Linked DNA regions of Oryzias latipes. The protein of the gene in region 2 binds, or shares a complex with, the protein of the main gene of each other region. Links are inferred from orthologs where the notes say so. Each region holds a gene or a part of one and is shown on either strand. Other genes may lie near its edges.

What was found. The genes of interacting proteins can lie anywhere in the genome.
Region 1: eif3i (region 2) and eif3k share a complex: the UniProt entries of both Homo sapiens proteins name them as parts of the eukaryotic translation initiation factor 3 (eIF-3) complex. The link is inferred for Oryzias latipes from reciprocal best matches to the Homo sapiens genes EIF3I and EIF3K.
Region 3: eif3i (region 2) and eif3g share a complex: the UniProt entries of both Homo sapiens proteins name them as parts of the eukaryotic translation initiation factor 3 (eIF-3) complex. The link is inferred for Oryzias latipes from reciprocal best matches to the Homo sapiens genes EIF3I and EIF3G.

The regions. Positions count from the first base shown.
Region 1 is NC_019871.2:2,896,864-2,901,010, forward strand, and holds the start of eif3k (eukaryotic translation initiation factor 3 subunit K), read right to left. Parts: upstream 2,805-4,147; 5' UTR 2,688-2,804; coding exon 2,626-2,687; intron 1,770-2,625; coding exon 1,671-1,769; intron 1,591-1,670; coding exon 1,470-1,590; intron 853-1,469; coding exon 775-852; intron 684-774; coding exon 617-683; intron 536-616; coding exon 458-535; intron 372-457; coding exon 246-371; intron 131-245; coding exon 99-130; 3' UTR 80-98; exon of another isoform or gene 60-79; intron 1-59. UniProt on the Homo sapiens protein: Component of the eukaryotic translation initiation factor 3 (eIF-3) complex, which is required for several steps in the initiation of protein synthesis.
Region 2 is NC_019869.2:26,646,287-26,650,586, forward strand, and holds the start of eif3i (eukaryotic translation initiation factor 3 subunit I), read left to right. Parts: upstream 1-1,494; 5' UTR 1,495-1,632; coding exon 1,633-1,635; intron 1,636-2,289; coding exon 2,290-2,382; intron 2,383-2,452; coding exon 2,453-2,540; intron 2,541-2,620; coding exon 2,621-2,686; intron 2,687-2,768; coding exon 2,769-2,918; intron 2,919-3,063; coding exon 3,064-3,191; intron 3,192-3,265; coding exon 3,266-3,376; intron 3,377-3,450; coding exon 3,451-3,540; intron 3,541-3,610; coding exon 3,611-3,684; intron 3,685-4,300. UniProt on the Homo sapiens protein: Component of the eukaryotic translation initiation factor 3 (eIF-3) complex, which is required for several steps in the initiation of protein synthesis.
Region 3 is NC_019866.2:8,456,724-8,460,788, reverse strand, and holds eif3g (eukaryotic translation initiation factor 3 subunit G), read left to right. Parts: upstream 1-1,261; 5' UTR 1,262-1,337; coding exon 1,338-1,360; intron 1,361-1,450; coding exon 1,451-1,497; intron 1,498-2,359; coding exon 2,360-2,451; intron 2,452-2,532; coding exon 2,533-2,592; intron 2,593-2,669; coding exon 2,670-2,774; intron 2,775-2,859; coding exon 2,860-3,055; intron 3,056-3,150; coding exon 3,151-3,261; intron 3,262-3,340; coding exon 3,341-3,477; intron 3,478-3,733; coding exon 3,734-3,840; intron 3,841-3,921; coding exon 3,922-3,937; 3' UTR 3,938-4,021; downstream 4,022-4,065. Other genes in the region: suppressor of SWI4 1 homolog, read left to right, coding at 1-28. UniProt on the Homo sapiens protein: RNA-binding component of the eukaryotic translation initiation factor 3 (eIF-3) complex, which is required for several steps in the initiation of protein synthesis.

The DNA of each region.
Region 1 (4,147 bases), on a different chromosome or scaffold from region 2:
CAGCACATCAATAAACATGAAACAGCAAAAAGTGCACATTAAAACCAGACAAATCCATCGGTTTTTGGTGATAATTTACTTTTATTAAGCTGTTTTTCTCACTGAGATGTGGCCATGATGCTGGAAACACCTGCAGACAAAACAAACAGCAGGAGAACTTCTTCAGACGGGAGACGAAACACGTGAAACCTGGAAGGTTCTGCTTCGTCTCGGCGGAGATCTCCAGAAATAAAAGCTGGACTTACTCTCAAAGTCGATCTTCTCCACAATGTTCTTGGGCTTGATGCTCTCCTCCTGGTTGTAGATGAAGATCTGCCCGTCCTCGTTCTCCGTCCAGCCGTATTTGTTCATCCACACCTTCACCTGCGTGTCTGCAGCAGGAAGCGGAAGCAGCTTCAACACCTCCGACCGTCGCCAACGGCGGATCAACCGGCGGATCTGGTGGATCGGTTCTTACCCAGCGGGTCTCCCAGCATCTCAGCCAGTAACCGGTGGTCAATGGTCTGGTAGGTGATGCCCACCACATGGCAGATGACTGCAGAGGAGGAGGAAGACGCTCAGAGACGTGTCTCCTTCGGGTCAGAGCCGTCGTCGTCTCCTGTAAGGCGATACTCACACTTGCGAACGGAGTCCTCGAAACCGGCGATGCCGTCAATGAGCTCCCGGTTCTCCTCCAGACTCGTCTGACAGGAGAGAAGAGCCAGAGAAAAGTTTCATTTCTTCACAGACTCCAAAGTCTGGAGATCTGATCCGAGAACACGATCTGCACCGCACCCAAAAGCTCTGGAAGTGGCAGGTCTCCAGCAGGTTCCCCAGGTAGAGGATCTGCCTGATGGGGCGCTCCTCTTGCTGCGACACTGTAGTCAAGGAAACACTCCCCCCCATCCCAGGTCAACCTAAGAATTATTCACTTTTAACCAACCAGCTAGTTATTCTCCAGAAATGAGACCTCGCTGTTAAAAAGCTAAAAGAAAAACCTCAGCTTTTATTCACATTTGAAAAAAAAAAGTGGCCAAAGTTAACAACAGTAACGGGGTTGACTCTGATTGTTATATTGGTACTACAGACCCCCTCCAATGAAAATGGAGTTCCTGGTGTCCACCAGAAGACTCTCCACCACAAAGACCCACTCCAATGTTTCTAACATGTTTTTCTGACGACGAATAATAAGAAAATGAAGCTCAAAACTGCATTTCTGAGTATTTCTTTCTTTAAATCGTCGTGAATCAGGAAAAATGCCGTTTGTTGAAGATCATAAACAGAAACTATGCCAGAAGAAAACAACAGTGTTTTTTTTATTTTGGCTGAAAAAGTTATAATCATAATTAAAAAAACCACTGGGAACGCTTTGAGAATAGATCAGAAGATGATCGGAGTGGGACTTTAAACTGACAGAAACACTAAAAACCTTAGAAGATAACGAAGCAGAAGCTGGTCTGATCTCAGACTGAAGAGCAACAAAAGGATACGTGTGTCTGGTCGATCATGCACTTGCAGAGAGTGAAGTCTGTGTGCGGCAGGTTGGTGAGCGCCTTGAGCAGAATCTGCGCGGTCACCGGAGTCTGGAAGTAAGCTGGGTTGAACTGGTACCTGCGGGTTCAAAGGGGAATCTGTCATCTCACGACGGGAAACCCGAGCGTCGCACCGACCCGAACGCAGCGGCAGCTTACAGCTTCAGCACGGCCAGGTTGGCCTCCAGGTCGTAGGCGTTCTCCCTGGCCTGCGTGTCCACGTACTGCTCCAGTGTGACGAGGTTTTCTGGGTTGTACCTGTGAAGATGCACAGAAGCTGGGAGTTTACAAGCCATAACTGCTGCTACTGTAAGGAACGTTGGTCCTCTGGGATGTTTTTCATGCATTTTTACGAGAAAGTCAGCCCACAGATGTGCAATAAAAAGGGGTTAAATCCCCCAAACAAAGAGACCTTCACAGCATCAAAACAGAAATCAAACTTAGTTTAAGGCCCAGCGGGTTCTACATTTTTGATTCACCAGTTCATTATTTTTTTAATAGTTTAGTGGTAGAAAACCGTTTCAAAATAAAACTAAAAAAATTAACTTTTTATGATTTAAAAGCTGTATTACATTAAAAAATATTAATGCTATTGATTTTTTTATTATTATGGTGGAATTAAATTGCATTATTATATTTCAAATCAGACCTTTAGTTTATCTGTACGGACATTATTTAAAAGACAACTCACATCTGTCTAAGTTGATCAGTCATCACAAAGCAACAACATACAGATCGATATGATCATCTTAATGCATCCATAGCATAATTAATTTACCTAAATGAATCTGTTTCTGCACTTAATACTTTCTGATGTTCAGTTTCTTTATGATTATTAAGAGTAACTTTACCTCTAAATTAGGGTCTATTAATAATTAACTTAAGTATTTGGTTCCGGTCAAGATCCTGAAAGTAAAGCCAATCTATTATGGCATTTACATTTAAAAAATAAATGTAAAACATTTTTTTACGCAAATGACATTGATAAAACAACTTCAATTTAAAGAAATTAATTGAAAGTTTTTAATTTCGACGAGTCTCTCAAACGTTAGCAAACAAGAAGCTAAGCTAGCCCTCGCGCCCGTTTTCCTCTTCTCTCTCGTTGGATTCATACCTGTCGATCCCCCGTAAGAGTCTCCCTACTGTCGCCCTCATCTGCTCGAACGACGAAGCCATCTCTCCAGATGTTTAACAAAATACTTTCAGGTAAAAAACAGATGTATCTTTGCACGTGCACCGCTAAAAGAGAAAAAGACCCAAGCCGGAAGGGAAAAGAGGTCGGACCGGAAGCATGAACTGAGTAAATGCGAGAGAACCGGGTTTACCAAAATAAAAGTCCGTACACAAGTTTGACTTTTTTTCTGGTCTGATTTTCTACTTGAGGGAGACAAATCAAAAGTTTCTTTTAAATTGATGGCATTACTTCCAACCCTTAAACAAATCATAAAAAAGATTTGTATTTCATTACTGCCACTTTGAAACTACCAGTGTATTCAATTTTGAGAATCTAAAAAGTTTTGTGCATTTTATGGATTCTGTAAGGTTGTTATTTGCTGCATTTTGGAAAAGGAAACCTTTTTTTATAAAATATATTTTTTGACTGACTTCCCCACTCTTTGAAACAATACACATTTAGGTCCATTATAGATATGGTGCTTCTCAATAAGCAGCAACTCACACTACTGTGCAGATGGAGCCAAGACAGACCTTCAGGTTCCAAAAAATTGAGTTTCTTTGGCCTTGATGACCTTGTCTTTTGCAGAGAACATTTAGTCTGGCCTCAAAGGCCTTTCAGAGAGGAGATGAGTAATGCATAAAAAATAAAATAAAAGTTCCACCCTCTTGGCTTTGCTGTTGAAGCGTTGTGACTGTAAACACTGCTCTGAAAATAGACCTTTGTGAGATGTCAGCCACTTCATCTGTGTATTCATTTTGTGTTGTTTTAATCTCTACATTTCTAGAAAACAAAGAAGAAAAACTGAAAAACTTGTCATTCAACCTTTCAGTTTAGTTACATGAAAAGGTTTTTTTTTTCTCTCAGACATAATTTTGTTTTCTAAAACTGTCTTTTAGTGTTTTTGGTTACATTTAGAAGGGAAAAAATATAAATCTAACTTTTAAAAATTGTGTTAAGAATAAGACGCAACATGTTGGCCACATCAAAATAAAGAGAAGTCTGAAAAGATGCAAAACTATCAAACACCTTCTTTCAGTAATATTTCCTTCTTTTCTTTTTAAATCCTTCTACAACGAAAGCTTTTTTCTCAAAACGGAAGAAATTAAGTTAAACTAAAAAATTTGAAACGTCCGAACGGGGTCTTGAACCAGCGACCTCATGCACCAACACTTCCCTGTGTATTTCAATGGAGATAAATCCTTGAAAATCCTGGAATATCTTGAAAAGTTGAAGGATTTGAAAAACCAAAAGCCATAGCAGGAATAAGCTGAAAGAGCTGAACATTTTAATAGTTGAATGGTTAAAAATAGTTGAAAATTGTAGAAGGGGTTAACTGCCGAAAAACGGCGGAAGATGAGCGCAATAAATAAAGAGAAACAGGAAAACAAAACAATAAAACTAAAAGAATGAAAAGAGAGCCAAAAAATTTAAATAGTCACAAAAAAAAACTGTCATTCAA
Region 2 (4,300 bases):
CATCCCTACATGTTGATAATAGCCCTGCAGCATCATGCATGTTAACATGTGTACTATTAAAAAAAAAACCTGTGTTTTATTAATGAAGCCCCTGCAGCATTAAAAGAAAAAAATTATAGTACCTACCTGTGAAATGTTCTGCCTTCCTCCTTCATGGACTCATTTCTCTGATTCTGGGAGTTGAAACCCGCACAATGAACTGGCATTTTGCAAAAAATGTGTTCACATGCATGCAGTGCTGCAGTGACTTGACCTCACCAAGATGGCGGTGCTCTCCTCCTATGTGGAACCCCGTGATGTCTCCTCTAGCGATAGAACTCAATGGTCTCAACCCCTTCCTTCTCATGTTCCCAAATAGGAAGTACCATTGCTACCTGATACAGTGGCCACTATGTTGTAACCAGTCGACAGTCCGAGTCGCTCTGAGTCATTGTATCTATGGCAACCACTGTCACCATTGCCATAGATACGATGACTCGGAGAGAATCGGACCAACCACTGTCGACTGGTTTCAACATGGCGGCGCTCGTATCAGGTAGCAATGGTGAGGGATGTGGCCTCCTTTCGTGAGAGCCGGAGGTACGGCTTTTCCTATGGGTGATGTCACAACGCCATTCGTCCAATGCTTTTACAGTCTGTGGTTCACCTTCATCCCAGACGCCTTTCCCCGCATGCAGCCGACTGGTCTCGTTGACGATCCAGGCGAGGCGCTGGTTTATCCCAAACACGACCTTTTGTCTAGCCGGCTTTCAAGTGGAAGGGGCGTGGCCTTCCAACAGGCTAAATTTTAAGTGGTTGCTATAGAAACATTGACTCAGATTGACTTGGACCTACTGTTTACTGACGATGTCTGGTTCCAACATGGCAGTATCTGTATCACGCAAAAATGTCAACTGTATTGACAATTTTTTAAAACTTTTTAACTGTTATTGCCAAAGAAAACGCTGGACACACAAAAAGGACGAAAATGAAAACGTAAAACAGCAGCTGTTGCAAAAAAGTATTTTTAAAATTTGGTAACTATGACGGTATTCAGTTTACAAACACAAACAGGTTTCACTTTAAAGCCGTAAATTTACGGAAAAAAAATTGTAACGTAAATTAGGGTTAGTATATTTTATTCAAATGTAGCCTACGTTTGTTCTCAAAATGTACACTGTGACTCTTGAGGAACATTGAACATTTAAGTGGCCTAGAATGTGACATTTCTTTTCTGTTTGTGTTTTTAACAAGTCATGAAAACACGAAGCATCAAAGTGTTGGTTCAGATTTCACACAGAAGCTCTTCTGGATTTTCCCTGTGTTTGGTTTTCTGTTCAAAATCCTTTTAAAGAAGATAAAAAGTAAAAATATATCAAAAATTAAAGCCATGGAAAATGTTACACGTGACACTCCCGCAGAGAATGATAAAGGTGTGCTGCTCTTCTCGTCCAGATAGTCGTGTTGGTTGTCATTATTGGTAACGCCGCCAGGGGGCGACGTGTCTACCGGAAGTTCTTTGGTTAGTGACACAAGCATTCCTTTTCCGGTGCAATTCCAGGGCGCCTGAAAACACGAGAGTCCCCCTTTCCTCTTTTCGTCTGAAGCTAAGTACCTCTTGTCGGACTTACTGGGGCCGTGTGGCTGACAGAAATGGTCAGTTGTGGCTTTTCTGAAGCTTTGTTGTGTTTCGGCCATGTTTGCTTTGTATTTGGCCTCTGGTTAGCTTAGCTCCGCAGTTAGCCGGTGTCGTGCTTGCTAGCAGCACTCATGCTGTCGGTGAGGCTGAGAAAGAATAGAAATCATTTTTATTTCTTTAGAATGTTTTTATTTTAGGCCAAAATCGGAGGTTTACGCGCTGTAACTGATGATTTTGTACAATTTTAAAAAACTAAAAGATTATAAACTACAAAAAGCACCAATAAATCAAACAATTTACCCTAAACTGCAATAATTAGACCAAATGTCATGAACTATTAAATATCAATACAAGTTCAGCCAAAATCTCAGAAACTGAACCAATTAATAGTTTTTATTAGAAAAATAAGGGTTTCTTGGATTTGTTTTTACTGAAGACCACATTATATCTCCCTGTTGATGACGTCATAGTTAGATTCTGGGACTGAAGGACTTAAATATGTTCATGGGTCTGAAAACAAACAAAGGGATGTGACTGTTTTCCTGCAGGCTGGTTGATCAGCTGGCAATTGTTTTTGATTGGTTACTAAAGATATGAAGGTTAACCTTTGTGGTGCTGCTGTGCAGACTGTCTAACGCTCAAACTAAAGGTTTTGTGACGTTTCCTGGCAGAAACCCATCCTGCTGCAGGGCCACGAGAGGTCCATCACTCAAATCAAGTACAACAGAGAGGGCGACCTGCTCTTCTCTGTAGCTAAAGACACGGTGAGCCCTCACCCCCCGCCACCCCCCCCATCTCCAGGTGTTTCGGACTCACTGACTTGTGTCCCTGCAGGTTGCAAATGCGTGGTACTCCGTAAACGGCGAGAGGCTCGGCACGTACAACGGACACACGGGGGCGGTATGGTGCGTGGACTGCGACTGTATCCTTCCTCCTGTGAGGATGAATGGTGTGCATGCTAACTCCTGAGGCCGCGGGCAGTTTCTTAACACGCCTTCTCAGGGGACACGAAGAACGTTCTAACAGGATCAGCAGACAACAGCTGCCGGCTGTGGGACTGCGAGACCGGTCCGTAAAATCCAAATGGGTCTGTGGTGTGAGCCAGTTCTATGAGCTCACATTCAAACAGAACCGTGTCTCCTGCTCACAGGTAAACAGCTGGCGCTGCTCAACACCAGCTCTGCCGTCAGGACATGTGGGTTCGACTTCAGCGGGAACATCATCATGTTCTCTACTGACAAGCAGATGGGTTACCAGTGCTACCTGAACTTCTTTGACCTGAGGGACCCACAGCAGATAGGTATGTGAAGTTAGCAGGAGCCTGGAGTTTGACGTCCCCGTTAGTTTGCTGCGTCTTCATCCCCCTCCACAGTGAAGCTGGATGTTCAGCTTCTGAAAAGCTGCTAGGAAAGTAATGAATCATGACTGAAGCATTCTGTCTGCAGAGGACAACAACCCGTACTTGTCCGTACCCTGCAACGAATCGAAGATAACCAGCGCGGTGTGGGGGCCGCTGGGCGAATTTGTCATCGCTGGCCATGAGAACGGCGAGATCAGCCAGTTCAGCGCTAAGGTTAGAGCCTTCAGACCTGTGTGTGGATTCTTTCTGAAGTGAAACTGGTTCATGTGCCGTTTCCCTGTGAGCAGTCTGGAGAGGCCCTGAAGAAGGTCAAGGAGCACACCAAACAGATCAATGACATCCAGTCCTCGGTGGATCTGACCATGGTCATCACCGCCTCCAAGGATAACTCTGCCAAAGTAACGACCGCTCCGCTGCTGAAGTGACTGTTCTGAGGAATCTCAAATCAACTCTGAATGTTTGTTTCTTTTAGCTGTTTGACTCCACCTCTCTAGAAAACATCAAAACCTTCAGGACAGAGAGGCCGGTCAACTCTGCTGCCATCTCCCCCATCAAAGACCACGTAAGAACCCCTCCTCCAAGTTTGAAAGAGATCAGGTGGATGCAGGTCAGTGACGCACATTTCCTCTCAGGTTGTGATGGGAGGAGGACAGGAAGCCATGGACGTTACCACCACCTCCACCAGGATCGGCAAGTTTGAGGCCAGGTGAGTCTGAGCCGAACGTCAGTCAGTCGTGAAGCCACAAACGCACCTTCAGCAGGAAGAGTTGATCCACATTAGCGTGGTCTCCATCAGAACGGAGAGAAACGTTTTCAGCCTGGAAGAACCCAACATCCAAGAGCTGGGGTTCTCACAGTTTTTGTAGCGGAGGGCCAAACCACGACACCGCAACTCCTGCTGCTTCATCACTGCGGTGATGAAAAGTCCCACACCGTCACAGCTCTATTCCAAACAGTACATGTGACGCGGCAACAATATAGTAGTAACAGCACTAACAGGGCTGGTTAAAAAAAACATACCAGTAAAAGTCACTGAGAGCAGCAGTAAATACTGAAACCATGGAAGTCTTCCTCCTCAGTGTGGGATTGGAATAGCGTCAGATATTCTTCACCACTCTCTCTCTCCTTCATTGTCATCAGTGTCACTCTGAGGTAAATTGTCTCCTGTTCTTGCTCTGTCCTCTCCGTCACGCAGCAGACCGGCTTTTCCAAACCCGTTGGTGATGGTGGATTTTTTCACACTGCTTTTAACTTGAAAGCTGTGTCATCTGCATTTCTTCTTGCATTTTCCATGATGAGTCTGTTCCTGCTATTCATTCACA
Region 3 (4,065 bases), on a different chromosome or scaffold from region 2:
AGATTCAGACGACAGAATGCAGGAATAAGAAGCCCTTTATGTCTTTACAGCTGAACCCTTCTCTCTCTCTCTGGCTTGCAATAGCTTATGATGCTTTTCTATTGTTGAATCTATGTTTTTATACAGTTTTGTGTCCATTGTTTTAATGTCTCTTGTTCTATTACACTTTAGTTGGGTTTTTGATTGACAGGGAAAGTACTGCTTTGGTGGCTTTTGTCAAAAAAAATACTTTCTATCTGACTGGAAGAGTAAATTATAGGTTTTATCTGCAATAACAGTTTATATACACTCTTTAATATTTTTGCCTTCCATATGTTGAACTTTGACACTCACATGTTATGCATCAAATCGTTTTTCTTTTTCTGTTCATACCTGTCTAAAATAAACTGTTTCTGTGTTATGAAGCTGTTTGTGCAATCATTTCTTACTTGTTATTAGATGTTCAGGTAAAAGTTTTTCATAATTAATATATTATGTGTTTCTAAAATAGTTGAATCAGTGATTAAAAGAATAAATAAATTCCATCTGAACAAAACAAACTTGCTTCAAATCCCTCTCTTTTTGTCATATAGATTTTGTAAGTAAGTGAATAAATAATTATTTCATTTACACAATTTCTAGTGTGGTCTGAATTGATTTTAGGTTGATAAATTCAACTTATTTTATCAAATTGTTAAATGAAATATGATGTGGTTCTGCTACAACTATCTCAAAAATGTATGTCAAATTCTAAACTTATTGCCTGATGGCTAAACCTATTTGGTAGGAAAAAAATGTGAAACAATGCACGATTGCACAAATCTATCAACTTGAAGAAAACCCAAAACGAATCCAAACTTTAGATAACAAATAATAATCCAGTTTGATTCTTGTCAGAGTTGCCCAACAGAGCTTTAAGGTGTATAAAAGACTACACGCTTCTGAAGTCTTTTGTTTAAATGCCAATCATCTGTTCATTGTCTTTTTTTAATAAATTATTCTTTATGTAGCTTTTATTAAATTTCAACACTTTATAAAAATGTATATAAACGCATAGGAAAATGTCAAATTATCGAATAGAAATCTGTTTTTAATTAGAAAAATCAGAGAACTACAATCACCAGACAATAACTGATCAGATTCAGATGGCAATTAAAAAAAACAGATTATAATCCGATTTGTGCCATGCATGTAGCGAAAAAGTTTTTTCTTTTATTATTATTATTATTATTATTATTATTATTATTATTATTATTATTATTATTATTATTATTATGCTATTATTTTGAAGTTTAAGTTCCGGAAGCGACCTGCTCTCGGCGCGGCTCGGTCCTTCTCGAGCTAAGCTAACACGCAGGATGCCGTCGGTGGAGTACGACGAGTGAGTGTCATTTAGATTTTCCATCAGTGTTTATATGTCACAAATGTCTTTTTTACTGGTTTAATGTTGATTATCTTCTCTGTATTTTAGCTCTAAGCCCAGCTGGGCCGACCAAGTCGAGGAGGAAGTAGATGAAAGTAAGAAAGAAAGCTGTTAGCATTGAAGCTAATTTATGGTAACACTGCTTGGTTCAAGGAGGCCGGCTAACCCGGCTTCATGTCCACGTGTTCGTCTGCTTTTTAAAATAAATATATCCAGGGAAAAACGTTGCGTATACACGTGTTAAAATTGTTTTTATTTTAAAAGAAATAGGTTTTAGAGAAATGTCATGTTGGACGGTTGTTGGCGCAAATTTTCTGTTGTCAAAATAGCATCGATGTGGCTAACATAAAAGCTTGCAGCTAACAAGCTCCGTTAGGTTAGGAGACGGTAACTGCTCTCAAATTAATTATTTTGCAGTATGTCAAATATTCAAAATATTCGTGTTTGGCTCGCATTTAATTCATGTCCGTCCCGAGACTTTTGGCAAATCCCGTTAAAAATTGGGACAGTTGTGTGTAGTGAATTCAACATGTAATTCAATGTAATTTAATGATAAAATGTAGTTGGAACATCTGTACACAAATTATAGATACAAAATATTTGTAATTAATTATGTTAAACGCGCAATACAACTTATTAACAATATTTTGATAAAAGTAGCCCATTCATCCAAATATTATTGTGCCCTCTACTTGTTAGGTTTTAAATTAATAAATCATTATAAACGCATACAAAATTTACTTCTGTTGTTTTCATAAAACATGTTAGCATCACCACAACCCAAAAACAAAAACCGCAATACAAAGATTCGTTACAAATTAACATATTACTTATTAGCTGCTTTGTGAACTAATTTTTTTGTTTAGACCCAGTTGAAAAAATTAAATGACCTAAAATATCTTCTAAGAATTTTTAGGCTGTAATTCATTTGTCTACTTGTTTTTGTGTCATTGACAGCCACACTTCCCTCCCCAAAGGAGACGATTAGAGGTAATATCAAAACTATCACAGAGTATAAAATCGACGAGGAAGATGGAAAGAAATATAAGGTAAACAGCATGTCCACAGTGGTTAAAGTGATGACCTGCTTCAACTGAATTATTTCATGGATTCTTTTTCAATCTCTGTAGATTGTACGGACTTTTAAGATTGAGACGAGGAAAGCATCAAAAGCCGTTGCCAGGAGGAAGGTTTGTGGAGTTGTGTTTAAACTGGGATTACTTTTGTGGGATTGGTTGTTGTGCAACAGTGAGTTTACTCTTTTCAGAACTGGAAAAAGTTTGGCAACTCTGAGTTTGATGCTCCTGGCCCAAATGTTGCCACCACCACAGTCAGTGATGATGTCTTCATGACTTTCATCTCCAGCAAAGAGGTAATAACTTGCATTAAATATTATTTTCTGCTTAATTGTTGTGAACCAACTTTCCTTGTGGATTTACTAATTTTGCTTTTTGCAGGATTTGAATGCTCAAGACCAGGATGAGGATCCCATGAACAAGCTAAAGGGACAGAAGATTGTGTCCTGTCGTATTTGTAAAGGCGACCACTGGACCACCCGCTGTCCATACAAGGACACCCTGGGCCCCATGCAGAAAGAGCTGGCTGAGCAGCTTGGACTGTCTACCGGAGACAAGGAAAAGCCCGCTGGCGCCGGTAGCATTTGCTCTTTATTCTCAGAAACACTATTTGAGAATTTTTTTTTTCTAAACACCTCACCAGTGACTCCTGCTTCCTCTTACTTTCCTTAGCGGAACCAGAGCCTGCTCAGCCCGCCCAAAGCAAGACGGGGAAGTACGTTCCTCCAAGTCTGAGGGATGGAGGCCGGGGAAGAGGAGAGTCCATGCAGCCCAACCGCAGAGGTGAGGCTTCAGGGCAAAACATGTACAATTATTTTCAGCAGCAAAACTTTATCCCTTGAAATTGTATGTGATTGCACAGCTGATGACAATGCAACCATTCGTGTGACCAACCTGTCGGAGGACACCCGTGAGACGGACCTGCAGGAACTCTTCAGACCGTTTGGCTCCATCTCAAGGATTTATCTGGCCAAGGATAAGAATACAGGGCAGTCCAAGGTTAGAGGCCATTTCAAAAAAAGCAGTACAGATCAGTTATGAAGGCTTGTTTCAACTGAAAATAGGTTACTTTAACCCAATCATGGTTCTGTTTGTAATCACAACTATTAACCCTAACTTATATAAGCCAAAAAGATCTTTTTGGTGAGAGCTGCCTTCTGTCTGCATCTGATATTAATATGTCGATAGACAGTTGATGTGTGCTCTCATGAGCGAATGACGCGCTCCAGTTAACGCTGCATCTCATTTCCTGCAGGGGTTTGCCTTCATCAGTTTCCATCGTCGGGAGGATGCCGCCAGAGCCATCGCGGGGGTCTCAGGATTTGGATATGACCATCTTATTCTTAATGTTGAATGGGCCAAGTAAGCTTCTTCTCCCATTCAAGTATTTGTGTTAAAACATTGCTTTAAAACTGGTGCTAACATTGTTTATTCTCTTTACAGGCCTTCAAACAACTGAGTTCAAACGGATTTCTAGAAAGATGCCAGATTCTATTGTGGTAAAATGTGGCTATTGCTTCAATAAAGAGAATGAATTCAGAAATATCGTTGCAGTTTTATTAATTTTAAGGTTTTTTGATTGATTTC